Sus scrofa: one gene and its partners. The protein of the gene in region 1 interacts with the protein of each later gene in a biochemical or structural test. Links are inferred from orthologs where the notes say so. Each region holds a gene or a part of one and is shown on either strand. Other genes may lie near its edges.

The links.
Region 2: of the proteins of CLSPN (region 1) and CDC7, one has a biochemical effect on the other in vitro, tested with the Homo sapiens proteins (3 studies listed by BioGRID, with this or other methods). The link is inferred for Sus scrofa from reciprocal best matches to the Homo sapiens genes CLSPN and CDC7.
Region 3: of the proteins of CLSPN (region 1) and CSNK1G1, one has a biochemical effect on the other in vitro, tested with the Homo sapiens proteins (2 studies listed by BioGRID). The link is inferred for Sus scrofa from reciprocal best matches to the Homo sapiens genes CLSPN and CSNK1G1.

Annotation. Positions count from the first base shown.
Region 1 is NC_010448.4:91,927,316-91,938,160, reverse strand, and holds part of CLSPN (claspin), read left to right. Parts: intron 1-169; coding exon 170-618; intron 619-1,762; coding exon 1,763-1,924; intron 1,925-2,606; coding exon 2,607-2,684; intron 2,685-3,007; coding exon 3,008-3,080; intron 3,081-4,436; coding exon 4,437-4,545; intron 4,546-4,733; coding exon 4,734-5,311; intron 5,312-10,845.
Region 2 is NC_010446.5:125,439,483-125,450,327, reverse strand, and holds part of CDC7 (cell division cycle 7-related protein kinase), read left to right. Parts: intron 1-532; coding exon 533-668; intron 669-3,966; coding exon 3,967-4,060; intron 4,061-4,145; coding exon 4,146-4,288; intron 4,289-5,879; coding exon 5,880-6,132; intron 6,133-6,727; coding exon 6,728-6,823; intron 6,824-7,596; coding exon 7,597-7,775; intron 7,776-8,790; coding exon 8,791-8,873; intron 8,874-10,845. UniProt on the Homo sapiens protein: Kinase involved in initiation of DNA replication. Phosphorylates critical substrates that regulate the G1/S phase transition and initiation of DNA replication, such as MCM proteins and CLASPIN.
Region 3 is NC_010443.5:107,686,278-107,697,670, forward strand, and holds the start of CSNK1G1 (casein kinase I), read left to right. Parts: upstream 1-3,771; 5' UTR 3,772-3,972; intron 3,973-11,393.

The DNA of each region.
Region 1 (10,845 bases):
TTTTTCAAAACGTATTTTTAGATTTGTTTTGCTACAGTCAGTTCTTAGTGTTAGTTACATAATTTCACAAGGTATCACTTGGATAATTGGATATGTTTTTAAGGAGTAGTGGGACTAGGAAGAAGGCCAGGTGACAGTAGACCTCTAAAAATTTTTTTGTTTCCTCCAGATTCAGATGAAGAGATATTTGTGAGTAAGAAACTGAAAAGCAGGAAGGTGCTACAAGACAGTGATTCTGAAAGAGAGAATGCAAATGCCTCTCCAGAGAAAACTAGCAATGACAACGTTGAGGAGGAAGATAAAGAGAACTTATATGCCAGGAAAAATAGAAAAGTTAGAAAGCTGTACAAAACTCTGATGGACAGTGATGAAAGTGACATCGAGGAGTCTTTGTATCAGGATAATCTTGAAACCCAAACGACACCTTGCGTAGGGCTGGGTCTCCAATCTGAAAACTCTCTGGAATTTACAGTTGACAGAAAGAGTTCCAAAAAGCCCATATATGATAAAGAAGAATCTGGGCGAAAAGCAAAAGTAAAATCAAAGCGAAGACTTGAGAAAGAAGAGAGAAAGCTGGAGAAAATTAGGCGACTGAAAAAGAAGGAAACAAAAACTGAGGTACATTTAAAAGAAGAATCTGCTGTTTCTTTTTTCTTTTTTTTTTTTTTTTTTCTTTTCTTTTTTCTTTCCAGGGCTGCACCTGCGGCATAGGGAAATTCCCAGGCTGGGGGTTGAATTGGAGCTACAGCTGCCAGCCTACGCTACAGCCACAGCAACGCCAGATCCCAGCTGCATCTGTGACCTATGCCACAGGCTGTGGCAATGCCAGATCCTTAACCCACTAAGTGAGGGCTGGGATTGAACCCACATCTTCATGGATACTAGTTGGGTTCTTAACCTGATGAGCCACAATGATAACTCCAAAATTTGCTATTTCTGAGGCAGATTAACATTTTATAAAAAGTTTTTAGTTCTTGAGATTGTTTCTGCACTCAGTATATAGCTCTGAGTTGATTGTTTTGCATTGCAAGTAATGAGGTTTGCGATTTCATACCTGTTGGTCTCATTCTCCATTTGGGGTACATAAGGACACTTCCAAGTAAATGGGTTTCTGATATTCTTTGTGAACATGTAGAATTATTTATTGCTGCTTCTGATCTGAAGAAAATTAACTTTCACAGGAGGATTTTTCATGCATCCATCAGTCAAAAGACTTGTTTGCTAACTAGAAAAACTATCTTCAAGTTTTATAAACTAGTTTCTTAGTAAATTTTTTTTTTGTTTGTTTGTTTTTGTTTTTTTTTTTCTATTTCTTGGGCCGCTCCCGTGGCATATGGAGGTTCCCAGGCTAGGGGTCCAATCGGAGCTGTAGCCACCGGCCTGCGCCAGAGCCACAGCAACGGGGGATCCGAGTCGCATCTGCAACCTACACCACAGCTCATGGCAACGCCGGATCTTTAACCCACTGAGCCAGGCCAGGGATCGAGCCCGCAACCTAATGGTTCCTAGTCGGATTCGTTAACCACTGCGCCATGACATGTACTGTTTTTTACATTAGTTTTGGACAATTGCATGAAATCACATTGTGAACGTCAAAAGATGACTGTGGATTAGGAACCAGTGAGAATGTTGTAGGATGCGATATACTTGTCTATTGATGAAGCCTGCGCTTTTTCTTGTTCTGATGCAAATTGCTGTATGATGTTGTAAAATACTGGATTTAAAATGATTGGATCTTGCTTTTTCTTTATGTATTGTCTAGGAAGATGATATGAAACAGCCATTTAATGACAGTGGCTGTCTACTTGTGGATAAAGACCTTTTTGAAACTGGGTTGGAGGAGGAAAGTAACTCTCCACTGGAAGATGAAGAGTCATTAGAATCAATAAGGGTGGCTATGAAAAACAAAGTAAAAAAACACAAGGCAAGTAAAAGATGACTGCAATAAAAGCTAACCCATTACTTCTAACCTTTGCTTTGTTCTGAATTGCTGTGGGAATCTTAATTTTTTTTTTTTAACTGAAGAAAAACGTGTCAATTGATTTATGTTTTCAGCTGTTAATTTTGGAATGATGCAGTACAAGCGGTAGACATGCTAACTTGTTTGGAAACTAGTATTTTCATTGTCCTAAAAGGAATGTTGAGGGGGAAAGTAGGATACTTTATGTAGGAAGCAGGTTAGAAATAATGGGGCAGAGATGTGAATTTTATAATCTAGTAGCCTCTAGGAAATGAACCTATAGGGTTTCAGAAAGGGTATCAGAGAGAAGCATCTGTCAAAGCATTATTGTCCTGAATGTTTGGAAGCATAATTGTTCTTCCTAAGATTATCTTTAGTTCCCTGGGGGTCGTTTTCCCTCCTGAGGGAAAGATTAAATGCAGGGGTGTAAGAAATGAGGGCCCAAGCTCCATTTAAGACATCCAGTTTGTTTCCTAGGCTTTATAGGATACTGTGTGTCTAACATCTATACTTAGTAATTATTGATTTATTATTAATGTAGCATGATGGGCTGTTGGAGTGCAAAAGCAGTCTTTGACTAAGCAACATCCTCTTGTGTCAGTTTAATTTTTGTCCCTGTTTATCCATGTGCAATCTTCTCTTTTAGAAAAAGGAATTGTCTTTGGAGAGTGGGGACTATTCGTTTGAAGAAGAAAGTGGATTACCAAAAGGCACCACAAGGAAGGTGAAGTAGAGCCCTATATAGTTGTCATGTTGAGCTCTTTTCCCTGGAGATTGTGGGTTTCTCAGGAATTCCATCATGTCCATCGTATTTTCCTGATACCCAGAATATTGCTTTGTACATAGTCGGGACACAAATATGAGTTGGGTTGAATTAATTCTATGAGACTTGCAAATAAGTGAGCTCTTGAAGTTTATATCATATCAAGCTTATAGGTATTTACTCTTCCCTCTCCATCCTTGTTTCTTGGAGGAAGTAGACTCTTAAGGATGACTCTCTTTCTGGATAATAGCATTAATATAGTCTCACCTTTTGTTTTCTTTAAGGAAAGAAAGGCAGCCAAGTTAAGTAAGGAAGCATTAAAAAAATTGCATAGCGAGACTCAGCGCCTTATTCGAGGTAATATAAACCAGTATGGTAAACATTGAGGCAAATCACATTATTTCTTTGTAAGCTCAACTTGGATGTTGGGGACTTTACTTTTTTTAAACAATCCTAATATGAATGGGATTATAATAGCATGTTTAGAATTGACATTGTTGAATGGCTGTTATTCTAAAACCTCTGGATCATTAGTATAAACTGAGAAAATTTCCAGAATTGTAGTGGTTATGAGAAAGGAGTTTTTTGGAGTTTCCTTTGTGGCTCAGCGGTTAATGAATCCTACTTGTAACGATGAGGTTGAGGGTTCAATCTGTGGCCTCGCTTAGTTGGTTAAGGATCTGGTGTTGTCGTGAGCTGTGGTATAGGCCAGCAGCTGCAGCTCTGATTCGACCCCTAGCCTGGGAACCCCAATACGCTGCGGGTGCAGCCCTAAAACAAAACAGAACAAAAACAGAAGAGAGTTTTTATTTATTTATTTATTTATTTTTTGCCATTACTTGGACCACTCCCGTGGCATATGGAAGTTCCCAGGCTAGGGGTCAAAGAGGAGCTGTAGCTGCCAGCCTACACCAGAGCCACAGCAACGTGGGATGCGAGCCACGTCTACAACCTACAGCACAGCTCACAGCAACGCCGGATCCTTAACCCACTGAGCAAGGCCAGGGATCGAACCCGCAACCTCATGGTTCCTAGTTGGATTCGTTAACCACTGAGCCACTACAGGAACTCCCAGAAGAGAGTTTTTAAAAATGGTTGTCTTTGGCTTGTCTGCATCAGGATCCCTTATACAAACCTTTCAAATTTATAAATTTGTATGCCCTACAGAAATTCTGATTCGGTAGGCTTGAAATGGGACCCCAGAATCTGTATTTTTAAAAGACTTCCTGGATCAGTTTGATTTCACAACTAGTTTTTAAAAGCCACTGGTCTTCAGGGAATTCTTTTGTATTTAGATCTTGGTTTTTTGGGGGGTTTTTTTGGTCTTTTTTTTGCCTTTTCTAGGGACACTCCTGCAGCATATGGAGGTTCCCAGGCTAGAGGTCAAATTGGAGCTGTAGCCACCGGCCTACGCCACAGCCACAGCAACGTAGGATCCAAGCTGCATCTGCGGCCTACACCACAGCTCACAGCAACACGGGATCCTTAACCCACTGAGCAAGGCCAGGGATCGATCCTGAAACCCCATGGTTCCTAGTCGGATTCATTAACCACTGAGCCACGACGGGAACTCCTAGATCCTGTTTTTAGTAACGGCAGAAATATTTTCTATTTCTGGTGATGGCTTTGGTTCTATTGTTTAGTTAACTGAACATGAAGCGACATTTCAGAATATACAGTATATGTATTTGCTTGTTTTGTTCCATTTTATAGAGTCTGCACTTAATCTTCCATATCATATGCCTGAGAATAAAACCATTCATGAATTCTACAAACGTAAACCCCGGCCCACTTGCCAGGGAAATGCAATGGCACTACTGAAGTAAGAACCTTTTTTCCTTGTGATTATAATTTTCATAAATGTTCAGTTTTGAGACAAATACTTTGCATAAAGAGTTCAGATTCCCCCCTCCCTTAAAACTAATGTTAACTGGTTCACTATGTGCTGAAGGATGAGAATATTTCAGATTTAGGGTAATTTTCAACCCCGACTTATTTCCCATCCTCTAGGTCATCTAAGTATCAGGCAAGCCATCACAAAGAAGTCACCGATACTGTGAATACAACTGAGCTGAATAATGACCACCATAGCAAAGATTCCGAGCAGACAACAGGTGCAGAACATGAAATGGAAACCAACGAGCTCCTTGAAGTTACAAACGAACCACAGACCACTACTGGATCAGATGAATCTTGCAGTAAGAATTTGATGAGAAGTGAAAAGCTAGAAATTCCCAAGGAACAGGAACAAAGTGATGCTAGACCTTCACCTGGAGACATCTTGGTGGCACAAGAATGCAGCTTCCTTAGGGACAAGGACAGTGAGAAGTATCGGGCTGGAGGGCTCGTGGCACCTGAACCTCCTGCCCTGGAGGGAGAAGAAGACCTGAAAGAAACAAAAGAAGCAGATGAGAAGGTGGAAGAGCCCAGCCAGCAAACTAAATCAGCAGCAGTAGTGCCACCTGACAAAATTAGGAGGTTCACTGTGGATAGACTTAAGCAGCTGGGAGTAGATGTTTTCATTAAACCTCGGCTGGGTGCTGACAAAGATTCTTTTGTGATACTTGAAGAACCTGAAACCAACAGAGGTAATGCTCTGAATTGTGGAGAGATTCTCTAGAGTGATCTATTCTGTCAGCTTTCTATTATTTGCCGCTGTGGAGGATAAGGAACACGGGAGAAACGAATAACCACACATGGTCTTATTCTACAGATGAATCACAGGTAGAATCTCATGTAGATACACTTGGCAGGGTATCAGAATGTTCTAAACCTTGTTTAAAATGGAAACCTGTTGATAGTTAATGTACAAAGGAGGGTACATTGCGTTATGGCATGACACTGGTAAAAGCATTATTTAGTTTGTCACAGTTGGAAGCACTTTGGTTCAGCAAATTGTCTGCAAAACTGAATTTCTTTTCTTTTTTTTTTTTTTCACTCATTCAACAAATATTAAACTATCCATTGCATGCAAGATGCTATAAGGCATGCTTGAGAAATCTGACATTTATCCTACACTTAAGCTACTTGCACTCTAACAGGGGAGATAAGAAGTATGCAAATGACAGTAATACAAAAGATAAAGTGGTAAGTGACATCTATCCTGAATATGTCACTATAATTGGAAAAAATTAAATAACATAGAGAAAAGGGAAGCGTATTCTTTGCTGAAAGGAACATTAAGAATAAAGTATGTTGGGGGTTCAGAGAAGGAGTAAGCCTCTTATAATAGGTGGTTAAAGGAAGGCTTGAAGAGTGAGTGAGTGTAATTACTGATGCACTACCTTTCCCATTATACCTTGAGTAGGGATCTTCTGGCTTGCTCTCTACTCTATCCCCTGTGCTTCCAAAATGGATGATACATTGTAGGCAACCATGTTTATTGAATGAATGAGTGAACGAATGATCCTTTAACAGAGAACTCAAATACTACCCACATTGGGTAAATGTCCTGACTTGTAGGTAAAATTGGGCGCTCCCTCGGCATCAAGGCGGTGCGGTATGATAATTAAGAGCTTAGGCTCTGTAGCAAGATTGGGATTTGAATCTGGACTTCTCTACTCACTATTTAAACTTGAATATGCTGTTTGACCTCTCCAAGCCATCTTTTTAAAAAAAATGAAATAGCACTATCTGGTTCACAGGGCAGTAGTGAAGATTTGTTGAAATAGTGCATATAAACGAAGAGCATAAATAAACACTCAAATGGTGGCTGCTGTTTCTGTTATTAGTGAAATTATGTACATCAAGTCTTTTCTTTATTAAATAGAATATGGTTGGTGGGTACTAGGTCAGTCAGTGTCTGGCGTGTAAATTAAGCTTAGTGAGTCTTTGTTGATTGAATGGGTGGACTTTGTGTAAGTGGAGAGAAGGACATTCTTGGAAGGGACAGAAAGAGCTCTGTGGGGTGCGTATTGGGAGGATGTGTAAGTCAGTTTGACCAGAGCTGGGAATGAGGTGGAAGGGTTGTGTGGCATAACTCTGTTAGCAAGGAAGCATGGGAATAAGCTGTTGCCCAGCTGTTGCCCAGATTAGGGAGGGAAAGTTTTGTTGTATGGGACAAGAAATTATGTAAACAGTCTCAGACTAGGAGATGGGAAAGAAACTTTTTTGAGTACATTCTATACTAGCCACTGAAATTTTGTTATGTGGGACCAGAAATTATCTAAACATTCTTGGACTAAGAAACAGGAAAGGGAAGAAAAGAATTGTTTTGTCATTCCCACAGCATGTAGGACTTCCCTAAGCCAGGGGTTGAACTGCATCATAGCAGCAACCTGATCCTCAGCAGTGACAACACTGGATCCTTAACTCACTGAGCCATACAGGAACTCCAAGAAAACTTTTTTTGGGGTGTCTACTATATTAGATACTGACAGATTTTTTTGCTATCTTTCTTAATTTTCGTAGCCCCAGGTATTATTTTGCAAATGAAGAAATTGAGGTTTGGGGAGGTTTTCAGGGGTTTCTTTTGTCTTTTCAGGGCCGCACCCGCAGCATATGCGAGTTCCCAGGCTAGGGGATGAATTGGAGCTACAGCTGCTGGCCTATGCCACATCCACAACAACACAGTATCCAAGCCGCATCTTCGACCTACACCACAGCTCATGGCAATGCCAGATCCTCAACCCACTGAGCAAGGCCAGGGATCGAACCCACAACCTCATGGTTCCTAGTCGGATTCATTTCTGCTGTGCCACGACAGGAAGTCCTGTCTTCTTCTTCTTCTTCTTTTTTTTTTAAATATTTTATTTTATTTATTTATTTATTTTAGTCTTTTTGCCCTTTCTAGGACCACACCTGCGGCATATGGAGGTTCCCAGGCTAGGGGTCTAATTTGGAGCTGTAGCCACCTGCCTACGCCATAGCCACAGCCACGCCAGGTCCGAGCCGCGTCTGTGACCTACACCACAGCTCACAGCAACACCAGATCCATAACCCACTGAGTGAGGCCAGGGATTGAATCTGCAACCTCATGGTTCCTAGTCAGATTCGTTAACCACTGAGCCACAATGGGAACTCCTTCTCTTCGTATAAGTACACACCAGTCATGTTGGAATGGGGCCAACCTCATCTTAACTTGATTATACCTGCAAAAACCCTACTTCCAAATAAGGTCACATTCACAGACACCAAGGGTTAGGATGGGGACTTATCTTTCTGGAGGACACAACTTAACCTATAACAAGGTCCTTTGTTGACAGATCTCTGAAGTTACAGGATTGAACCTGTGTCCTCATGGATGTTAGATTCATTTCTGCTGAACCACGATGGGAACTCCTAAGGCTTGGAGAGTTTGGTTGGCTTATAGAGGGAACTAGCACAGTGCCTGGCACATAAATACGCACTTTTTTTTTTCAATTGAAGTATAGTTGGTTACAATGTTGTGTTAGGTTCTGGGGTACAGCAAAGTGATTCAGTTATATATGTTATTTTTCATATTCTTTTCCATTATAGTTTATTACAGGATACTGAATTTAGTTCTCTGTGCCATTCAGAAGGACCTTGAATGTCTGTTTTATGTATATTAGTTTATATCTGCTAATCCCAAACTTCTAATTTATTCCCCCTTCCTCCTTTCCCCTTTGGCAACCATGAGTTTGTTTTGTATGTCTGTGAGTCTGTTTCTGTCGTAAATAAGTTCGGTTGTGTCATATTTTAGATCCCACATGTAAGTGATAGCATATAGTATTTATCTTTGTAACTTACTTTACTTAGTATGATAAACTCTAGGTCGTGTTGCTACAGAAGGCAATATTTCATTCCTTTTTATGGCTGAGTAGTAGTCTATTGTATATATACTACATCTTCTTTATCTATTCATCTGTCAATGAACATTTAGGTTGCTTCCATATCTTGGCTTGTTGCTGTGAACCTTGGAGTTCTGCTGTGAACATTGGAGTGTGTGTATCTTTTCAAATTAGAGTTTTCTCCAGATATGTGCCTGGAGAAAAGGAGTGGGATTGCAGGATTATATGGCAACTTGTATTTAGAATTTTTTGAGGAACCTCCATACTGTTGTCCATAGTGGCTATACCAGTTTACATTCTCACCAAAGGTGTAGGAGGGGTCCCTTTTTTACACACCTCTCCAGCATTTGTTATTTGTATACTTTTTTTCCTTCTTTTTGGCCATGCCTATGGCATGCAGAAGTTCCCAGTCCAGGGATCAAACCATACCACAGCAGTGAGCTGAGCTGCTGCAGTGACAATGCTGTATCCTTAACCAACTGCATCACAAGGGAACTCCTGTAGACTTTTTAACGCTGGCTATTCTTTCTTTTTTTTTTTTTTTTTGCTTTTTAGGGCCGCACATAGGCATACGGAGGTTCCCAGGCTAGGGGTTGAATTGAAGCTGTAACTGCTGGCCTACACCACAGCCATGCAGGATCCGAGTTGTGTCTGTGACCTACACCACAGTTCACAGCAACGCCAGATCCTTAACCCACTGAGCAAGGCCAGGGATTGAACCTGCATCCTCATGGATGCTAGTCAGATTCTTTAAGTGCTAAGCTACGATGGGAACTCCAATGCTGACTATTCTGACCAGTGGAAGATGGTACCTCACTGTAGTTTCGATTTGCATTTCTTTAATAATTAGCAATATTAAGCATCTTTTCATGAATAGGCACTTATTTTTAACTCAGAATGTTTTCCTTCAGAAATAATATTTAACATGAAAGTTGGGTTTCCAGATCAGCCGGTTCCATAATATAATATGAATGTTGATGTATATTTACACATGTCAACATTCATTTATTTATGCATACATTTTTTTTTTTTAATCTTTTTAGGGCTGTACTGACAGCGTATGGAAGTTCCCAGGCTAGGGGTCAAATCGGAGCTACAGCTGCCAGCCTACAACACAGCCACAGCAATGCGGGATCCGAGCCATGTCTGTGACCTACGCCACAACTCACGGCCATGCTGGATCCTTAACACACTGAGTGGGGCCAGGAATCAAACCCACATCCTCACGGATACTAATTGGGTTCGTTAACTGCTGAGCCACAGCGGAAACTCCTTATGCAATAAATTTTTATTTAGCATATTTTTGGGTGCTCTGTAAGATGTGGTCCCTGCTTTCAAGAAAATGAAAGTCTAGTAGGAGTAACAGGCAGGCAAACAGACCATTATACTATTAGATGCTAAGTGTTGTGCATACTTTGAGCCTAGAGGAAGAGTTCCTCACAGGGAGTCAGGGAAGCTTCTGAAAGGAGCTGATACCTGAGCTGAGTCCTGAAAGCTGAGTAGGAGATACGAAGGCAGAGAAGTGAGGGAGGACTTTCTTGGTGGAGGTGATGGACTTGCAAAAGACACGGAGCAGGAGAAAGCACAGAGTGCTCTGGCTAGTTGAAGTGGGGCCTGTAAGGGGGTGGGTCACCAGAGGCCAGATCATGCAGGGCTTTAAGGTGTAGATGTGAGCTGGAGCAGAGACTTTTCACTTAGATGAAACGTGCTGGGAAACAACTGATGGAGGGAGAGGAGCTTGAACAGGGATTCTAGTGAAGAGGGTGGTGGTTGAGTCCTGTAGTAAAGGGCAAGGAAAGTGGGTGCTCCAGTGGGTTGGGGGGTGAAGGGATTTGAGGGACCTGGCCTTCTCCAGAAGAGTGAAGGCAATTCCTGCCTAACTTATTTTAGGTTCTGAATAGTTTTCCTCCCCTCCCCTTTCTTTTATTCTCTTGGCACCAATAATGACCTGCCTATTTCTGTTCCTTTCCACTGCCACCTTTCTTGAACTACTGTAAAATGGGATACAACTTACAGCTTCTCTCCCTACTCTTTGGTTGGCAATGTGAACATACCATCCTTTGGAGTTGGATTTTTGCTACTAATAAATACTGTTAGGGACTCAGAACACAAAGGTTTCCTCCAGTTCATCTCCTTTTCTACTAAGACCCTCCAGGGAAGGGAAAATAGTATCTAGATGCTAACCCCAAAACTACTAAAGTATGATTTGAGTGCATTTTAGAAAAAGAACCAAACTTGGAGCATCCTGGACATTTTAACATGGAAAAGAAGGCACGGTATGCAGAAATAGACAGCATCCCTCAACCCCAAAGGAACTTTTTCTTCTTTTCCTTTCCTTTCTCTTTATGACTGCCAGCTCTCTTACAACAGAT
Region 2 (10,845 bases), on another chromosome or scaffold:
TGTGGGGCTGGTCGGGGGGCAGGTCCCTGGTGGCTCAGTGGGTTCAGGATCTGGCCTTGTCACTGTTGTGCGGGTTGGCTCGCCGCACCCAGAACTTAGGCATGCCATGGGTGTGGCCAAAAAACAAAACATAGCTTTGTTTCCCCCTTACGACTATTATCGTTTTATTTCTAATAGACCTGTATCCAAGGCTTAAAATAATCTCAAATGATAATATTGCAGAAGAATACTGACTGGAATGGGTCGTACCATGGAGATGTTTTTTGCTAAACCTAGTTGACTGAACGGGTTTACCATGTAGCTTTGCTGAATTACTGTGTCCCCTAAAGAACTGAGGACAGTTAAGAATTTATTAAAAATTGAAAATAAGTTGTATTTACAGATGTGTTTGCTTTTCATGTTCAGTCTCATTAAAATATTAATGGTAGCTGATGATAATTTTATGGGTTCCAGTTTTTAAGAACTGTATTAGCTTTATCTCATTCATATTTATACAACCATATATTGAACAAGCTAATACATTGTTTTACAGGCACTTTCAGCTCAGTTTATTTGGCCACAGCACAGTTGCAAGTGGGACCAGAAGAAACAATTGCTCTAAAACACTTAATTCCAACGAGTCATCCTGTAAGAATTGCAGCTGAACTTCAGTGCCTGACAGTGGCGGGGTAGGCAACGTGCACATGTTACTTGAACTGCCGCTCTGGTTTGTAAGATTTTTGCGTCGATCACTAACACGGGTGAAGAGGTTCTTCAGGCAGGGGCTGGCGGTTTGCTAGCACTTTCCCTCGGGTCTTGGGATGGCTAGGTAAGTTCCTGTGAATTTTTGGAGTGGATTTCCCTTGAGGCTCAGCTTGACTTCCTAGTCTCTTACCACTTTTTCTGCTCTTCCTGCCAAGTCGTAAGCCTTGGCTCCCATGGTCGAGATGTTTTTTAAAATATGGGAAACTGACCCTCATGTCTCCCCAGACTTTGGCAGCCTTGTCTCATTTTGGTTTGGAACAGCAGAACCATGTGGCATGTGTTTGTCGTTGGCCTTTCTCTGCGAGGCCCTCCCTGTCAACGAGAGACATGACGGGCTTTCTCTGGAGCTCCCTGTGCCGCCGTCCCCCTTCCGGCCGCTTCCTGGCCTCTGCTCCCCTTCACAGCCAGACTCCTCGCAGCCTACCTGCTTGGCTGCTTCCTCCACGCCCGCCTCCTCCACGCCAAGCTGAAGCTACTTCAGAGCCAGCTGTGGCTTCGGCTTTTTGGTCCCTTTCTCTGTTCCCGTGCACACGTCTGGCAGTGTCAGTTTAGGTGCTTTGGGCAATTGTCTCTTGACTGTACTGCCATTGATTTCCTCCCGCCTTACGTGGCCTGTGTGTGCAGTGTCCTCTGCCGGTTCTTCCTCTTCCCCTGACCCCAAACACGGGCGATCCTCAGCCCTCCGCCCCGGGCTGTGTTCCTCCAGACGGCCGTAGGTGGGGTCGTGTGTTCCACCGGCCTTGGGTGCACACATGGTCAGGGTCCCCGTGGGTGTGTATCTGGCCTCAGACCTCTCCACTGCAGATTCGTACCGCTGACGTTTCCGTTTGGGTGGCTAATACACCGCTCGTCCTCAGTGCTCCAGCAGCGACGTTCTAACCCTCCTTCGCCTGTCCAAAAATGCCGATGGCAACCATGTGTTTCCATCCACCCACCTCAGCAAGTGGCCCCGCTGTCTGCCTGGCCCCTCAAGCCAGAAACCGAGTGGTCACCCTCAGTGTCCCTCTTCTGTCCTCGTCCACATCCACTGCCAAGTCCTGGTGATTTTGCCTCCCAAATAGATCTAAAATTTATCTGTATCTTTCTATCTTCTCAGCCATCCCCTCAGCCCAAGCCTAGCTTCCCACAGCAGCCTGCTTCTGTTCCCTCTTCATCTCGTAGTCACCGGACAGCCAGAGTGGTCTTTAAAATGTAAAATAGGTGTGTGTGTACTATCGATTGGATGCTGTTCCGCCTCTTAAAATTCTTAAGTGGTTTCCCAATGTTCTCCGGAAAGAACAAAGCCAACTTCATCTCCTGCCAGTCTTCGCGCCCCCTCGCTGTGCTCCGGGGTCTCCAGCTCCGCAGATTTATCCAGGAGCGCCCTCACCTCGGGGCCCTGCAGGTGCTGTCTCCCCGTCGGGGCCGCTCCCTCCCGGGCTTTGCGTGCCGACTCCTCTTCGGCCCTGAGCAGGAACCCTGAGCAGGAACGGTACCACTTCAAAGAGGTCGTCTCCGAACACCTTCTTGTCAGAGCCCTTTGGATCCCTTTCAAAGCCCTTGTCGTAATTTGTCGTTACTGTTCCCTTGTTTGTTGTCCTCATCGTCCACCAGACAGGAAAGTCCAGGAGGGCAGGGATGTTCGGTCCCTTCCCCGTCGCATCCTGAAAGCCCAGCATCGTGTCTGGAGGGTGGTGCCCACTAAACAGCGCCCGGAGGAGTGAACACACCTGCTTTCAGTTTGCCCTCTCTGTGTATGACGGAAGGCGAGAGAATGAGGCGGCCGCTCTGAGGCCTGATGACAGCCTCTCGTCCCCTGAAGAAGCTTCTTCCTCCCCCACACACTCGAAATAACTCCCTTGACCAGTTTTCCTTGCCTTCTTCTTCAAAAATGTGCATGCTAAAAAAAGAAACAAATCTACCTGATCTTGCTTCCTTTCTAGCTCCCACACTGGTTTTTATTCTTTTCTTTGCCAGATATTTCAGGAAAATTGTCTTTATGGTTTTTTTAAGATTTTTATTTTTTCTGTTGTAGTTTATTCCCGCGTTCTGCCGATTTCTGCTGTATAGCAAAGGGATGGATATACGTATATACACACGTATGCCTTCTTTTTCTCGCATTGTCCTCCATCGTGTGCCATCACGAGTGACCAGATAGAGTTCCCTGTGCTACACAGCAGGCGTCTTTCTGTGCTGTTTCTCGTCTGTCCGCTTTCCCTCCTTCAATCCTGTTTGGCCTCTTGCTTTCCGCTTAAACTGCCCTCTGAAAATTCGCTAATTCCTCTTGGCCGGACCAGAAGCCTTCCCTCAGTCCTTGTTCTTGGGCCCCAGGCTGACCACCCCGTCCTTCACGGCAGCTCCCTTGGGTGACACCCCCATCCGGCCTCGGACTCGAGACTTTTCCAGGGCTCAGTTTTCTCTTCTCTCTGAATCACTTTAGGTTTCTGTCGCTCACTCCCACTTGGCTTCTCACTTAAGATAGAATCTTGTATCGAGGCATCTTTATCAGAGTGACGAGGTTTTGGGTTCCGGTGTTTCTTTTCGAGTCTGCGCGGCGTGTTTTGCTGGTATCCGTGTCGTTTTACTCACGCAGGTGCAGAACCATGGGAACCGCTTTGCCCCGTTTTCTCATTTCTCCAAGGCAGAGGAGGACCGCGGTTGAGAGTGTAGATCTGGAGCACACTGCCTGGACTCAAATCCTGGCTCCGTGACCTGCTAGCTTAGTTATCTCGGGAAGTTCCTTCACTTCCCTGTGCCTCGACTTCAGTATCTGTAGGCGAGGGAGAGCACTCGTAGCACCATCCTCGGAGCGTTGTTGTGAAGGTTAAGGGAGTCTTTTGACAGATGTGAAGATCAGAACTTGGTTTGTAGTGAATGTTCAGTAAATGTTACCAATTACTAATTTTTAACTGATTTATGGATTACCTCTACCATCTTATCTGCTGTGAAGTCTTACTCATTTTCATTCTTCATGTTTTCCTTCTCATTCTGCCACTTTCCCAATTAAAAGTGTAATTGTCTTGGTTTTGAATTATAACTTCATAACTGGTGTTGTCTTTGTTTCAAAAAAACCCTTTATCTTGTATAAGTCACTTAATGTGTATACTCTCCTGTGTGGTGATGGTTTTGCGTTAGTTTTCTAGCATTATTTATGCATTGCTGCAGTTGTATTTGTTAAAACACTGAGCTTAGAGTTTCAGTTCATTTGACCTTTCTGCTAAAGTTCTTGCGTTTTTCCACTAGGGGGCAAGACAACGTCATGGGAGTTAAATACTGTTTTAGGAAAAATGATCACGTGGTTATTGCTATGCCCTATCTGGAGCATGAGTCCTTCTTGGTAGGTTTTAATCGTTTTTGAATTTTTATTAACAACGTATTTGATTAAAAGTAATCTTACCACCTTATTCATCACTGTATTTTAGGACATTTTGAATTCTCTTTCTTTTCAAGAAGTACGGGAATATATGTTTAATCTGTTCAGAGCTTTGAAACGCATTCATCAGTTTGGGATTGTTCACCGTGACGTTAAGCCCAGCAATTTTTTATATAATAGGCGCCTGAAAAAGTAAGTATGGAAAGGAATCAGAAGCTGTTTATACTTGAGTGAACTTAGGCTGTGGGGTCCAACTCTTAGACGTGGGCCTTACCGCAGCAGCCGTGCGCAGGTTGGTTTCGCTTGCCACTTGGCATTATGATTGGGGAGGGAAATACACTCAGGAGAAGATAATTAGTGAAACAGCTTGCATCACTAGATGGACCGTGGCTCAGTGGAAATTGCCCTTAGTAAAAGAGACTCAGAAGGAGTCTAGGTTTTTTGGGGTCTTTGGTTTTTTACCTTATGCCTTTATCTCTATGCCTCATTTTTCTTTTCTTAGTAAATAAGAGGATTGTACCACATGATAGCCGAGTTCCTGCTTCAACATTGAAGTTTTGGGGTTTTGTATACTTTTTATGCTGATTATATACATAGAGGCACTGTAAGTGGGAAACTTAAATACTGCTGTTTACACAGTGGGTTGTTTTGAATATAGTAAGGAAAATGGAACGATAACTTCTTTTCTTGGGCTTTTATACTATACTCCTGACTTAAATTTTCTTTAATTTAATTTTTTTTTTTTTTGTCTTTTTTAAGGCCGCACCTATGGCACATGGAGGTTCCCAGGCTAGGGGTCTAATCAGAGCTGTGGCTGCTGGCCTACACCAGAGCCACAGTAATGCCAGATTCGAGCTGCGTCTGTGATCTACACCACAGCTCACGGCAATGCCAGATCCTTAACCCACTGAGCGAGGCCAGGGGTCAAACTCGTAACCTCATGGTTCCTTGTCGGATTTGTTTCTGCTGCGCCACGACAGGAACTCCCCAATTTTCTTTAATGAAATCAGGTTTTTAAACTGATTTTAATTTATTTTTCTTTTAAACTTGTTAATTAAAAGTTATCTTGAAGTTCCTAATGGGCTAAGAACCCAAGTATATCCATGAGGATGAGGGTTTGGTTCCTGGCCTCGCACAGTGGGCTAGGGACCCAGCATTGCCAACAAGCTGGGGTATGGTTTGCATGTAGGGTTTGGATCCCACGTTGCCATGGCTGTGGTGTAGGCCAGCAGCTGCAGCTTCAATTAGACCCCTAGCCTGGGAACTTCCATATGCCGCAGGTGTGGCCCTAAAAAGAAAAAAAAAAAAATTATCTGGAGTTCTCCTGTGGCACAGTGGGTTAAGGACCCAGCGTTGTCACTGCAACAGTTTGGGCCACTGCCGGGGTGCACGTTCAGTCCCTGGCTCAGGAAGTTCAGCATATGCCATGGGCGTGGCCAAACAAACAAAAATAAAACAAGTTGTCTGCAATGATGCCACCTCTTTCCACTGTCAGAGAACAAAGTATTGCGTTCACATCCTGCATTCCTTGTCTGCACAACCCAGTGGACAGAGGGGACAAAAGATGCTTTTGTGTGTAGGGGTTACATCTTTCCTTAAGTTTCAGTAGTTAGCTATTAAATCCTTACCTTGCCTGTAAATCTTAACTTTTCTTTTTTTAAGGATTTTATAAACCCTTAATTTATCTTCAGAAGAATTACAGTTTCTGTGTGAATATGGTTTGTATTATGATGTTACCAAGCTTTAACTGTCACAGAGAAGTAAAAATGCTTTTGTTTCCTAGGTATGCCTTGGTAGACTTTGGTTTGGCCCAAGGAACCCATGATACGAAAATAGAGCTTCTCAAATTTGTCCAGTCTGAAGCTCAGCAGGAAAGCTGTTCACAAAATAAATCCTATGTAATCACCGGAAGCAAAATTTCACTGAGTGGCCCAGCAGCACCTAAGGAGCTGGATCCGCAGCCTACCACAAAAACCTCTGTCAAGAGGCCCTACACACATGCGCAGATTCAGATTAAACAAGGACAAGATGGAAAGGTACCTCTTTTGCTTCTTAAGGGCTCGGATGGTTTTAGAAATGTACTCCATCCAACAGCGTTATTATTCCGGGATAATGCTTGCAGCTAAAAATGTTTTTTACATTGGTTAGATATTCAATTGATTAGATTTCACTAAGATTTATAAGGGAGGGTTTTAGGATTTCAAAACTGAAATCTGCACTTGGTAGGTGCATAATGGCTTTGTCAGTACAGTTGCGTTATATAACAAAAATAGAAAATAAATTTTCCCTGCCTGTTATCGAGTTTATAGCAATTATCCTTTTTAAAAGAAAGCATTAGTTGGTGGGGACAACCCTGAAGTGTCCATCTCCGTTTTAGCAGCGCAGCAAAACCTAACAGCTGTGCAGGTGGCTCTGTGTATTTGTGGGCTATGATAACATTGCATGGGGGGTGAAGGGTGCTGTCTAGACTGTCTTCTCTTTTCACAGAAGTGTTTTGGTGCCTGAGAATGACTTGGATGCAGCTGTTTTTGTTTTATGTCACTTAACTCTTTCAAAACTGTGGCAGAGTGCAGCTGGCAGAAAGTGTTACAGATGTAATCCTTATTCTCCTTGTTTTTGTTGGTATCGTAGGAAGGATCTGTAGGCCTTTCTGTCCAGCGCTCTGTTTTTGGAGAAAGAAATTTCAATATACACAGCTCCGTGTCACATGAGAGCCCTGCAGTGAAAGTAAGTAACGTAGCTTAATCGTGCACCCTTCAGTCAGTCGTACCCGGGGGAGACTTTTAGGGAACGGCCAGATGAGCTTTTATTAGCGGTCCTTTTTTTTAAGAGTTTTGCTTTGGCAGAAGGTATTATTGCTTGGAGCATCTTGTCAACACTTCCGTTTTCTCCAGTTTTTTCTGAACCTTTCCGATGGAATTTTTCATCATTTTTTGATGAGCTGACGGTTGCTGCTCTTTCTCTCAGGGAACAGGAACATTCAGAGCATTGTGGCCTTTTCTCTCATTGGCTGGGATGTGACTCCCAACAACTAATGCGTTTCTGACATGCAGTTGATAGCGTAAAGATGTTTGTAGCGTTTACAGAGTTGTCGCCAGTGTTAAGTGGTTTTAAACTGATTGATGATATCCTGTAGCAGCTAGATAGCATGAGCAGCAAATTAAAACTCTGGATTCAGCCGCTGTAATTGCGCAGTTTACAGCTCTGAAATGGAGTTAGACACTAAAACGTCAATGTTTCATACTTAAGTAACATTTCAAGGAAAAGTTCTAATAAAGTATAATTTAATATTCCCCGAAGTAGGAATAATTAGTAGATTTTAATGTTTATTCAACACAAAGAACTAGAGACCTTCAATTTTAATAGACATCTGTTTATTTACAATCCAACAGCACATTTAGCAGCTCAAAGTTATGCTTCCCCTGTTGCTTTTTGCCATCGTAGCATTTGAGGCATCATTAGATGCCGTGAAAACAGGGAATATGACTTTTCTCTTACAGCTTATGAAGCAGTCAAAGACTGTGGATTTGCTATCTAGAAAATTAGCAACAAAAAAGAAGGCTATTTCTACAAAAGTTGTGAATAGTGGTGTGATGAGGAAAACTGCCAGTTCTTGCCCAGCCAGCCTGACCTGTGACTGTTATGCAACAGATAAAGTTTGCAGTATTTGCCTTTCAAGGTAATATGTTTTGATGGTGCTGCACGCTGCCCGATGAGCCTGCTGATTCTGGTGGGCGGTTGATTTGAGTGAGTAAAAGGGAACAGTGCAGTTCTGAGAACCGAGGGCCCTGGTGCAGCGCGGTACCTGGACGTGCAGGTGACAACCCTTGACACACATGCTCGGGAGAGCACGTTTGCCTTTGCATGCAAGTAGGAAGAGCTCTTCAGAAACTTGAGAGTGGCCTCTTTTACTTGGTGATGTCATCTTGTTTTCTTTATTCCTGGCGACGTAGAATAACCTGAACCAAATAATAGAACCTTTCTCACACTCCCACCTCCAGTTCTTTGCCACATAAATTCTTTTCTTCCCTTCAAGACTTTCTTAAGCTTTCATGAGCTTTTCTGATTAACTCTAGTACATATGTGAACAGATAGCTCAGTAAGTAATTCCTCAAAATGGAAATACATTTTTTTTTTGGTCCTTTTAAGGGCCTCACCCGCGGCATATGGAGGTTCCCAGGCTAGGGGTCGAATCCGAGCTGTTGCTGCCGGCCTACACCACAGCAGTACCAGATCCGAGCCACGTCTGTGTGTGACCTACACCATAGCTCATGTCAACACCGGATCCTTAACCCACTGAGCAAGGCCGGGGTCAGACCCACAACCTCGTGGTTCCTAGTCGGATTCATTTTCGCTGTGCCACAATGGGAACTCCAGAAATAGGTTTTTATACCTCAGCGTTCCTGATGTGTTCTGTTTTTCTGTTTTGGCTGTCATCATCTACTACCTCTTCTTATGCCTGGATGTTACCTTAAAACCTGTCTGGAGCAAGACCTGGGAACTAGTGGGAGGGGAAGGGACCCATAGAAGCAAAATCTAGGATTTCCATCACACTGGATTATCATTTGCCTTCTAGTAACTTTTATTTGCATAGATACTACTTGACTGTGAAGTAAATGGGTTAAGTGTTATTTTTTGTTCTTACGTAATTAAACTTTAACGTAACTAGAAACATCTCCTTTCATCATCATTAGGCGGCAGCAGGTGGCACCTCGGGCAGGTACACCAGGCTTCAGAGCACCAGAGGTCTTGACCAAGTGCCCCAATCAGACCACAGGTAGGTCACGTTGGAAACACAGAACCCAGTTCAGCTGGTTTCCACGGGTGTATCTTAGGATTGCTGTCTAGTTAGGACTAAGTCGGAGCTGTCCTGCTTCTCCCTAAGGTCTGGAGGTGATCCTGGCACTTCAGCGTAGTCCCGTTTTTGACCTGGTGCTGTGTATGAAAGCTTCTAACCCGAGTGTTGCTTTGGGTTGTTTTTTTTTTCCTCTGTAGATTAGGTTTTGCTTATCTTTCTACAAGGTGATTTTATCAGGAATAATTCTAACATCACCTTTGTGGGGACTTGGGCTTAGCAGTCTTGGCCAGCTTCAGTCTTGCAACGTCTTATGTTTGCCTCGTACCTCAGACGTCTTCTGTGGTACGCATATGATTGTGTGTTTGATTAAAATTTTTTGGTTGTGAAGACAGTGTGATAGCATTGCGGAGATTTGCAAAAGAGAAAAAACTCTAACCGGAAAGAGTCGTCACGGATCAGGATCCCAGAGGACACCTTCTTGAGGCGTTGCGTCTTCACGTGGGTTATGGACTTGACGGAAGTGGATTCGTTTGGCAGATGCTCCTTCTGTGCTTTGCGGGTGACAGAAAAGGATCTGCTTTCGCTGTAGTCAGACACTCGCTCCGGTGATTATGAAGCAGTCTGTTCAGTATGCAGAGTGTTTTAGGGTCTCTGACTCCTCTCATCTGAGGGGTCATGGAAGGAAGCTCACGGGAGAGGGAACGCCTGGGAAGAGAATGTAGATTAGAACAGGAGGGTCACACGAGCAGGGGAACCCAAGATAGCGCGGTCACGCGGGAAGCCGTCCAAGCTTCGTGTTGCCAGACTGTGTGGGAAGTCAGAGTGGTGACACATGAACGGGGAGAGAGGTGGCGAAGGTCAGGGTTCGGGTGTCGTGTGGCTCGGACCACATCCTGCAGGTTCGGGAAAGGGGGAGAGCGCCGGAGCTGACGGTCTTCTGGAGGGTCCTTCGGCAGGTGTGCAGAGAGGGCTCGGCCCCGGGGAGACGATGGAGGCCCGGACGCGGCGGGAGCGGGAGGAGTGAACCGAAGTGAAGACGGGACAGGCAGAGCTTGGCGGATAACTGGATGTGGGATTTGGGTGGCAGAGAAAAGGCCTCCAGAATGTTTACCAGATTCCTAGCTTGGGGACCTTTAAGGGGCAACCGGCGTGGAGAAAAAAGAAGTAGCCGGTGTACAGGGAAGGAAAAAGGGGACGGGGGCATCGCTGGTTTGAGAGCGTGTGGAACATCCAGACAGAGATGCCCAGCGGGGTGATAGTGCGTCTGGAGCGCGGGGACGTCTGGGCCGCCGGTGGCACCGAGTGTCTTCCTTACCACGCGAGGGGTAGTGGAAGCTGTGGACGGGCCGGTCCAGCAGAGTCCACAGGGGAGGCGTTGGAACTCTGGGGGCACCTCAGCCCCTGAGGCTTGGAGGAAACACTGCAGGCGCGGGCAGAGGTACGCAGGGAGCCAGGAACGGCAGGTGTGCGGCAGCGGCCAAGGGAGTGGAGCAGGTAACCTGGTGATGCAGGGAGTTCAGCAGTTAGGACAGAAGACGAGCTTCCCCAAGCTGTTTGTTTCCTTTAATGAGCTTCTTCACGGGAGGCTGAGCTGGTCCTAACCGGCAGGACTCTGGAGACGGACGTTGTCACAGCAGAGGTGGGGTTGGTTGGCACCTGGCTGAAGGCAAGCCTCTGATGTTCATACGTTGCACTGCGGGGCAACGCGTTCACTGCTGTGGTGTGTAGATCCTGAGCAGCATCCAGACTCTTCTCCTACACAGCCACTTTGGATTTGTTTTGATGTTATAAAATGTGCATTTACTGCGTGACGAAACACCCTTTTAAACAGACCAGCACGTTGCTCGAGAAAGAAGACTGTGTATTTTGTATTAAGGATGTTAGACAAATTACATTAAAAGCACCTGAGGAACTTTTTAAAAAAAAAAACTGATGCTGTACAGTAAGGAAA
Region 3 (11,393 bases), on another chromosome or scaffold:
CAGGGCAATGATGGTTTGAAATCTACTACATATCCAAGCATAAGTAATTCTTGCATGTGCACTTAAAAGTCAAGAATGGGGAGTTAGAGGTTAAGGAATCCAACTGGGAACCATGAGGTTGGGGGTTTGATACCTGGCCTTGCTCAGTGGGTTAAGGATCTGGCGTTGCCGTGAGCTGTGGTGTAGGTCACACACCCGGCTCAGATCCCGAGTTGCTGTGGCTGTGGGATAGGCCAGAGGCTACAGCTCCGATTAGACCCCTAGCCTGGGAACCTCCATATGCTTCGGGAGCAGCCCAAGAAATGGCAAAAAAGACCCCCCCCCAAAAAAAAGTCAAGAATGGGTATTTCTATCATACATTCTCATCTAGCAATAGTGCCAGGTTCACTTAGGTAACTTAGATCACTTAACTTGATTCACTTAGCTAACTTAGATCACTTAACTTGATTCCAAAAGATATAGAAGTGCCTGAGAATGTATGTATGTGGGTAACTGGGTCACTTTGCTGTACAGCAGATATTAGCATAACACTGTGAGTCCACTATGCTTTAATAATAAAAAAAAGAAATGCATTGCCTTCCACCAATATTAAAGTACCCATTTTTATTTCTGCATATGTCAAATAATTTTTACCACCACAAAATTGATCGGGGAGTTCCATGGCAGCTCAATGGGTTAAGCTCCTTGCTGTGGCTTGGGTCACTGCAATGGCATGGGCTTGATTCCTGGCCTGGGAACTTCCACATGCTGCAGTCGTGGCCAAAATACAAAAAACTGATTTTTTTCTTAAGGCATATTTGATAAATCTTCCTATCAGGAGGCAAAAATAATGTTATCAGGTATTTGTAAATGAAGACTGGAAACTTGTCTGCAATAAATTCACAACTCTTTTGTGTTCTTTGTGTAAATACACACACACAAACACACACATATATATAAACTTGATCAATAAGAATAGGTACATGTGGGAGTTCCCGTCGTGGCACAGTGGTTAACGAATCTGACTAGGAACCATGAGGTTGCGGGTTCGGTCCCTGCCCTTGCTCAGTGGGTTAACGATCCAGCATTGCCGTGAGCTGTGGTGTAGGTTGCAGACGCGGCTCGGATCCCACGTTGTTGTGGCTCTGGCGTAGGCCGGTGGCTACAGCTCCTATTCAACCCCTAGCCTGGGAACCTCCATATGCCGCGGGAGCAGCCCAAGAAATAGCAACAACAACAACAACAAAGACAAAAGACAAAAAAAAAAAAAAAAAAAAAAAAAAAATAGGCACATGTGGATTTTTTTTTTTTTTTTTGGTCTTTTGTCTTTTCAGGGCCACACCCAAGGCATATAGAGGTTCCCTGGCCAGGGGCTGAATCGGAGCTGTAGCTGCCAGCCTATCCTGCAGCCACAGCAACATGGGATCTGAGCCATGTCTGTGACCTACACCACAGCTCACGGCAACGCTGGATCCTTAACCCACTGAGCAAGGCCAGGGATGGAACCCGCATCCTCATGGTTGCTAGTCATATTCATTAACCACTGAGCCATGGCGGGAACTCCCCATTCTTGACTTTTAAGTGCACATGCAAGAATTACTTATTCTTGGATACGTAGTAGATCCAACAGATCTTAAACTACATGAGATCTCTGTGTGTGTGAATGAACACACCCTTTTGCTTCATATCTGAACATTTTATATCTGTTTCGGATTGTACATTGTGTTTCTAATTGATTTGCACTTGTCACAAACTAAATGAAAATAAATGGTTAAAGAGCAATTAAAACAAAAAATTTAAATTTAAAATGATGTTTATGCACATAAAATTTAAGAATTATTCAATATTGCTCATATGGTAATTGAGTAAATTATTATTGAGTGCATCCTATCCATCTTATGAGATATTTCAAAGGAATTTCAAATTCTGGAGCAGAAACTAAATTTTATACTGACACCTATCATTTCTGGTTTTAATAATATCAATAAGCAAGGTATCCAATCTCTTGGGATAGATTATGATGGAAGATAAGAAAAGTAATGTATATATATGTACGACCGGGTCACTTGTATAACAGATATTGGCACAACATTGTAAATCAATAATACTTTAATTTTAAAAATGTAAAAAGAAATTAACGAGGTTTTTTTGGTCTTTTTAGGGCTAAGCCCGAGGCATATGGAAGTTTCCAGGCTAGGGGTTGAATTGGAGCTGCAGCAACCAGCCTACACCACAGCACACCAACGGAGGATCCAAGCTGTATCTATGACCTACACCACAGCTCTTGGCAACACTGATCCTTAACCCACTGAGCAAGGCCAGGGATTGAACCTGTGTCCCCATGGATACTAGTGAGGCTGGTTACCAAAGAGCCATGGTTGGAACTCCTAAAAAGAAAATAGAAAGGAGGGGGATAACTTTTTGGATAGAATTTTTGTTTTTGGCTATGCATGAGGTATGCAAAATTTTCTGGGCCAGGGATCAAACCCACCCCACAGCGGCAACCGGAGCCACTGCTTCGGTGACTCCAGATCCTTATCTCACTGAGCCATACAGGAACTCCTGAATAGACCTTTTTTTTTGTTTGTTTTTTTAACTTTTTTTCTTTTTAGGGCTGCACCTTGGCATTTGGAAGTTCCCAAGCAAGGGGTCGAATCAGAGCTGCAGCTGCTGGCTTACACCACAGCCACAGCAATGCCAGATCCAAGCCGCATCTGTGACCTACACTGCAGCGCATGGCAACACCAGATTCTTAACCCACTTTTTTAGGGATCTACTGACTGCATCCTCATGGACTAGTCAGGCACGTTACTGCTAAGCCACAACAGGAACTTCCTGAATAGAGTTTTTTAATAGACTTGTTTCCATGATCCTATAATCTCTTCTGGTTCCTTCTCATTTTCTGGCCTCATTATTCCTTGTTCTTTCTCATTCTAATATGAAAAAGCTAATAGTCAGTATTAGGTTTAGAATATATGACAAGAATAAATCAGGTCTCTTATTAACACTTTTTTCTTGTCCACAGTATAGGAATGAGAATTTATTCTCAGTGGTGGATTAAATGTCTTTCTCCACAAGCTTGACTACCAGCTTCCTTTGGCCATTCCTCACGGTTTTTTCTCTTAAGGATTACTCACGTTACTTACAGCGAATCTTTGTTTTCTCCTTCCATTTAGTTCGGTTATTTTCATATCTTAAACATGTGCAATCTTTACAAAAGACAAGATAGGTGAAGACAGAAGTTTCTCACCTTCGATTTCGATTTCAGGGGCTCTCACAGGAGAACCAAGTGCTTGAAAAAGCTTTCGTAACATTGGAGGTTACCTAAAAAAATCCAGTTGAAACACAACTGAATATCCACAAGAGGGAGACGCTTGCTAAACCGCCTGAAACGAGGGATCAGAGAGATCCTTAGGAGGAGCCACTTGGGATTCGGGGCGGGAGGGAACTGGAGTAAATAATGACTGGGGCTAATAGTGCGAGTACAGCTAAGGAGAAAACTAAAGTGGGCTCTCTGTGTTTGGCAGGCGAGCCCGTGCTCCACCCAAGATAGGAGCAGGAGTAGAAGGTAAGGGTATGTTGCCACAGAGGAGCACACGCACGCAGCTCGGTTCTAGTAATCCCAGAAGAAGTGGGGGTGGCAGTCTTTGAAGGCACTTCCGCTTAGCAACCCCACGCGGTTGCTAAGGAGGGGCGGTAGCGAGGATGACCCGGAAGTGGTGGTGTACATTTCTCACTGCCAGCTTTAAGTTTGTCCTATCGGGAGCGCCCGGGTGCTTTGCGCCGGGCTGAGGGTGGGGCCAGCGCTAGTAGTTCCGGTTCGGCTTCTGCCGCCCCTCGGCTCCTCGCCTTCCCCCCTCCCCTCCCGCACTTTTCCTCCCTCCAGTTCCTAGGAAAGAGAAGCCAACGCTGCTGGTGGGTAGAGAAGCACTCCGCGCCTCCAGGAGGGAACTGCGCTCACCCCATCTGAGCCCCAGGACACGGCCAGACGAGGTACTCGCTCCGGCTTCGATGGGATCCGGGAGGCTCTAGCCTGAGGGTGTTGTGTGTGTGTCTAAGCCGGCTGGTGGGGGCCCCCTTCTCCGAGTCGGGGAGGGGAGCACCGAGATCCTGGGTGGGGCGCAGGCCGGCGAGTTTGATTGTAAAGGGTTTTAAGGACGGAATGCAAGGGCCAGGGCACGCCGCTGGCGGAGAGTTTCGAGTGGCCGGGTAGAGGTTTCGGAGAAGGCGCCCCTTGAAAGCAGAAGACTTAGCTGCTGCGGACTGGGAGTTTGCCACCTGGAGGGTTAGCTCTAAAAGGGGGAGCATCCTCTCCATCCAAAAGGAGAACATTGACCCTGGCGGGGTGGCTGGGACAAGCCCTTGCTTCAAATGACTGCTTCCCTTGGGCACCCCCCTGGGACAGAGCCCGGCTTCGAGTGTTGTGGGGGTTGTGAGTTGGCTGGGCACTGCGGGGAGCCGCCCTTGGCAGAGCTAGGGCAGAAGAGTGGGTAAGGAGACCTCCCTCCTCCCAATTTCCGTGCGCTTCCCCCACTTCTTCCTTTAGTGCTCTCTGGCCCCGGTGTCCTACCGGAGAGGTACCGCCTCCGCCCCCCAAGTGGGCAGGCATCACAGCGTAAAAGAAAGAGAGAGGGTGGAACTGGTTCTCTTGCCCCTCAATGATACTTAGAATGTTTGGCAAGTGCCAGAATGGCATATTTAGCCAAGTCTCCCATCTCGATATTAAATCTGGTGTAAATTATTTTAGAAAATGCAGTTCTGAAAAGCTCCAAACTATGGGCTAATTTAGCTTAGCATTGTTTGGTAGATACGCGTTTGTAAAAAATACACTAGGGGAACCGTATAGATATAGAGGTCTAGGCGAAACATGTTGAGGCAAGCCTTTTCCAACATCTTTCTTATCTGCCAGTAAGCCTGCCCTAGTTTAAATGAAGCAGAATGATTCTCTTCACGTATACTTCAGTTAGTGACCGAATTGTAGGTACTGTGTGATTATAGATGTCTCAGAATAGAGGCGTGAACATTCAGAGAGACAAGATTCTCTGCTTTTGCGCCTGTCTCCTAATCTTTTAAGGAGATAATTGTGGTCAAGTGGAAGTATTGGCTTTGAGGTTAGGTAAATCTGGGATTGAACCTGGACTGCCACTAGCTAGTTGTTGACCTTGGACAAGTCAAGAACTTACCAGAGATACAATTTCTTCAAAGTAATATGAGTTAAAATACTTACCAGTGTTGTAAGGGGGAGTAATGTATTTAAATAACAGCCCACTTTAAATGGAAGCACCTTCCAATTGAAAGATAAATTATTAATAATCTTAACACGGTTAAGGTAGCTTAGTTTTATGGATTAGGGTTTGAGATAGGAACAGAACTGGATAATATTCCAAAACATATTTGTACAACAGGATTTTCTGTGGCTTCTAGAAATTGATCATAAGCAGCATCAAATTATCAGGAGTTTCTTAAAAAGTATGTGAATTAACTGAAACGACCAATGATGTTTCAAAGGTTTTTCTCAGATTTGTGATGTGTATGGCATGGGTTGATAAGAAAAACATTTAAAAAGCAGTGTATATAAATCTTAATTAACATCACATGTCTTTATAGAGAATTAAAATTGAGGCATAAAACAAAGTACTTTTAATTTTACGATTAAAATCAACAAAAGTAGTATGATTCATGTTAAGTAGATTTAAGCTTATTAGCAAAACTTATAGAATTTTATATGTATAATATTCTGTGAAATAAATGAAAATGGAATGAATTTTTGCCTTTGAAGTATTTGTGATGACATAGAAATTATCTCAGAAGTTTTTATATCATTTGTTTTGTAGATTTAAAATGATACAGTTGTATGTAACCTATTAAATGTCAGATTTTCAGCTAGTTTGCTTTTTAATGTAATGTAGTTTGTAATTTAAAATTTTTAAATGTACTTTATATTCAAAAGATAATAGATTTTTGTGCAAAAAGTTGGTGTAAAGTTTTAATTCAGTATCACTTTTTAGAGAAGTTTATAGGTTTCATAATTTTTTTTTTTTTTGGTCTTTTTGCTATTTCTTGGTCTTGGGCGGCTCCCGCGGCATATGGAGATTCCCAGGCTAGGGGTCCAATCGGAGCTGTAGCCACCGACCGGCCTACACCAGAGCCACAGCAACGCGGGATCAGAGCGGCGTCTGCAATCTGCACCACAGCTCACGGCAACGCCGGATCGTTAACCCACTGAGCAAGGGCAGGGACTGAACCCGCAACCTCATGGTTCCTAGTCGGATTCGTTAACCACTGCGCCACGACGGGAACTCCATAGGTGTCATAATTTTGAGAGAAATTTTCAAATATATTGCCTCTTCATTTCCCTCTATTTTAAATAGTGTTGAATTTTATTTTTTTTTAATAAAATTCTCCAGCTATATTGTATGTTCCTTAAGTTAGAAATACTATTTTAAATTTTAGCCCCCACTGCAGCTACATGAAAGGCACCAAATAAATATTGGTCAAATTGATAGATGGATGGATATAGTAAAAATTATTATTATTATTATTTTGTCTTTTTAGGGCCGCACCTGCGGCATATGGAGGTTCCCAGGCCAGGGTTTGAATCTGAGCTGTAGCAACTGGCCTACACCACAGCTCACCACAACACTGGATCCAACCCACTGAGTGAGGTCAGGGATTGAACCCATGATCTTGTGGATCCTAGTCGGGTTCATTAACCACTGAGCCGCGATGGGAACTCCTATAGTCAAAATTATTAATGGGATATTTATACTATTTTTTAAAGTGTTGAAAATATGTTTTTATTGGAGTTGTAGATTTTTTTGTAAGATTATTCAACTTTCTCAATGGCTTTTCTGATATTGTAAAGTCTTCAGAGTATATATAAGTGTTGAATTGTGTTTTCCTGGATTATTTTTCAACATCTTTCAAATCTTCAAGTTGAGACTGTATTGTCTTGCTTTGGCAAAGCCATCAGAAGCTCCCATTTCCCCTCCCCATCTTCTTATAAAGCTTTAATAAATCATTTGTTAGGAGAGGTAGGATACCAGCTGTAAAAATATCTATCTAAAATGTAGGTAATAGTAGAAACTGTCAGAGATGATAGTTTTCCCAAAGACCTTTTCCACTTAGGCAAAGTATGTGGCCATTCCACTGATCTTTGCAGTTGTCAGTTATGGAATTTGCTTGTCCGGAAATCTAAAAATGACTAAACCTTCCTTTAATGCCTGTCTCTTGGGTGATCTCAGAAATCTTTAGGAAAGACTGGAAAAGTTTACATATCATATTGGAATATATAATGAACAAAGTACAGTTAACTTTATTCATGCTGCCAGATCAAGAGTGAGTTAACTGTATAAATTTTTAAAAAGTGCCATATAGTGCCTCACTCAAACCAAATGAATGAATATTCTTCCAGAGCTTGTTTCTATTTCAGAGCATATTTCTTTTTGAAGCTATAATTTGGTCTCTAATAAGGATAAATGATCATTGTATCCAGGCTGTTATCATAGACAGATTTTAGTATCACCAGTCTTGATAGAAACTGCTTCATTGGCTTCAGAGAAGTGGAAATAAATTTTCATGAAAAAAATTTTAGAATTTTTGGAACGATAGTTTTTCTCTATTTAACATCTAACTTGTCTCTACTCATTTCTGCCTAATATAGAAACTTTGAGAAGCTGGGAGGAAAAAAAGAATGAATTTACTTCAGAATTACCATTTTATGTTTTGTAGCTAAATTGGGTTTTGACATTATTGGGATTGTGTTCAAGATGGACTTGGGAAAAAAATTAGAGAGATGCCATCTGTTTCAGATTCCTATTCCTTCACCCCTGCTTATTTTGTGGCTTTGAATTCATCAGATTTTTTTTCAAAAATAAAGCACCTCAAGTTCCTGCTGTGACACTGTGGGTTAATAATCCAACTGCAGTGGCTCTGGCCGCTGCAGAGGTGCAGGTTCAATCCCTGGCCCTCTGTGGTGGGTTGAAGGTTTTGGAATTGTCACTGCTATGGCTTAGGATGCTGCTGTGGCAAAGGTTTAATCCCTAGCCACAGAATTTCTGCATGATGCGGGTTTGCCCCCCCAAAAAAGTAATTTGTTATTTCAAACTGTTTAAACATTAGATAGCCTCTTGCATCTTTGTCATCATTCGCTTAATAAACCATTCTTGTCAGTAATGCTTACAATAATCCACTTATTGGTGGAAGTTGCTAAAAAAAAATTATTATAGAGATATAGAGTAAACCTTTTTTTTTTTCTATTCTGATATTGCAACTAGAAGAGAAGCTTCTGTTGTGGATTTTTTTTTTTTTTTTTTTTTTTTTTGTCTTTTTGCCTTTTCTAGGGCAGCACCCATGGCATATGGAGATTCCCAGGCTAGGGGTTTAATCAGAGCTGTAGCCACCGGCCTATGCCAGAGCCACAGCAATGCCAGATCCAATCCGCGTCTGCAACCTACAGCATAGCTTACAGCAACACCAGATCCTTAACCCACTGAGTGAGGCCAGGGATTGAACCTGAAATCTCATGGTTCCTAGTTGGATTTGTTAACCACTGAGTCATGAAGGAACTCCTGGATTTTTTAATTTAGTGATGAGTCCACTTAAACGTACTCTTTCAGTAGTGAGTTTTACCTTACCTCTTGCTATAGTTTTCGTCTAAGTGATACCATACAGTTCATAGGGCATATACATGTTGTTTTTCAGTGTAGATCTTAATGAATCCCGAGGATAGGCTTTTGGATTTACTGAGCTGGAAAAGACTATATCTTCTTCAGGTTACAGTAGTTGGACACCTGTTATGGACTGGAAAGACCGAGGCATCTTTGAGAAAATATAAAGTAGAACTAGGAATGGCCTGAAGGGAGAGCCTTCTGGATAGAGGAGAACCATGCTTTGTGTGCAGCAGAAATGTTCTGGTGATGTAGGAAGACAGATGAACTGCCCTTATACCACTGTAGTCTGTTTCTCACACAGAAGCTCCAAGTAGGCAGTGTAGGTATAGCAGGGCCTGGGATGTCAGGGATGGGAATTGTTCTTCGGTAATTGCTCACCCATCACAATGGAGGCATGCACATATTGGGAAAGGGATATTCTCTTGGATTTTGCTTTGGCCAGAGAAGCTGAGTGAATAGATAGCCATTGCCCTTGCCATCAAAGAGAACTTGGTGCAACACCTCTAGGTGCTGGGTAAGCCTATCAAAATGCTATAGTTTGATTGTCTCCATCAAGAGTCCACATAAATTTTCCAAGAAACAATAGCACTGGACCAAATTGATCTCTATAGTTGACACATTCTAAATCTTTTTTTTTTTTTTTTTTTTTTTTTTAGGGCTACACTCATGGCATATGGAGGTTACCAGGCTAGGGAGTGAATTAGAGCTACAACTGCTGACCTATACCGCAGCTCATGGCAATGCCGAATCCCTAACCCACTGAGTGAGGCCAGGGATCGAACCCGAATTCTCATGGATACTAGTCGGATTCTTTTCTCCCGTGCCACAATGGGAACTCCTGACACATTCTAATTCTTTAACCTCTGAAAATGGGGCATTGAGGACTTTTGGGCCTCTGAGTGAAAGTAACATACATTACCTCCATCTTGATAGATTTATAAATACATTTAAATTTGTCTGTTGGTATTAATAAATGATATGAAGATGTTTTAGGTTCATTTTTGTGTATGTGCTTGAGTGTCCATGATGATCACCAGATTTTAGTTCTTCAGGCTAAATTGCTGTCATCATAGCTGTGCTCAAGCACTTTCCCAGCTGGGATTTCTTCTCCGTTTCCTAGAGGTGTGATGCACATGCTAGTGAGCAGAAATATGATCAAGTCAAGGAGATTAAAGTTAATCTTTAAATTTGTTTTAGGTTTATTCGGATTTGATTTTGTTAGTTTTTTTCTTCCACTTTACTAGGATTTCTGTGGTTTTAAAGTAGCAATATCTTTGAGATTGTGGGTGCCCAATTTTTTTTTTTTTTAAATTAAGAGTTATTGAACAGTTTTAGATTTATAGATAGAGTTCCATATCTATCCACTTAATTCCCACCCACCTCCCACCCCCCAGTTTCCCCTTTTATTAACATTTTGCATTTATGTGACACATTAGTCATGTGGCATATGGAGGTTCCCAGGCTAGGGGTTTAATCAGAGCTGTTGTTGCTGGCCTATGCCAGAGCTACAGCAACACGGGATCCCAAGCTGAGTCTGCGATCTATACCACAGTTCATGGCAACACCAGATCATTTAGCTCACTGAGTGAGGCCAGGGATTAAACCTGAGTCCTCTTGGATACTAGTTGGGCTCATTACCGCTGAGCCGTGACAGGAACTCCCAGCAATATGCATTTAAGGTTCCTCTATGTCTTTTTTTTTTTTTTTTCTTTTTTTTTTTTGGTCTTTTTAGGGCTGTACCTGCAGCATATGGAGGTTCCCAGACTAGGGGTCTAGTCAGAGCTGTAGCTGCCAGCCTACACCAGAGCCACAGCAGTGCCAGATCTGAGCTGAGTCTGCAACCTACACCACAGCTCATCGCAACGCTAGATCCTTAACCCACTGAGCGAGGCCGGGGATCGAACCTGCAACCTCATGATTCCTAGTCAGATTCGTTGACCACTAAGCCATGACCAGAACGCCAATGTCTTTTTTTTTTTAAATTGCTGCACCATAGAGAACTCCTCCTCTGTGTCTTTTTGTGGCTTTTTAGCTCATTTCCTCTGATTGCTGGATAGATTTGTACCACAGTTTGTTTATCCCTTTACTTGTTGAAGAACATCTTGGATGCTCCCCCCCACCCCTTTTTTCTAGGGCTGCAGGTCTGGCATATGGAAGTTCACGGGCTAGGGGTCAAATTGGAGCTACAGCTGCCAGCCTACGCCACAGCCACAGCAGCGCAAGATCTAAGCCGCGTCTGCAACCTACACCACAGCTCACAGCAATGCTGGATCCTTAACCCACTGAACAAGGCCAGGGATTGAACCTGAATCCTCATGGATCCTAGTCAGGTTTGTTAACCACTGAGCCATGAAGGGAAATTCTCCCTTTTTTTTTTTTTTTTTTTTTTTTTTTACTGTTACAAATAAAGCTCCTGTAAAGGTGCTTGTGCTTAGTTTTGTGTGTACATAACTTTTCAACTCCTTTTGTAAATAACAAGTGTGAATGCTGGATTGTATGGCAAAAGTATGTTTAATTTTGTAAGAAACTGTGAAACTGTCTTTTACAAGTGGTTATACCACCAATATACATTCCCGTCAGCAATGAATGAGTATTCCCGTTGCTCCAAGTCCTTGCTTGCATTTGATATGGCCAACTTTTTCTACTTGAGCCATTCTAATAGTTTTAATTTGGAATTTTCTAATGATGTAAGAGTGTTCAACTCCTTTTCATATGCTTATTTGCCGTCTATGTATCTTCTTT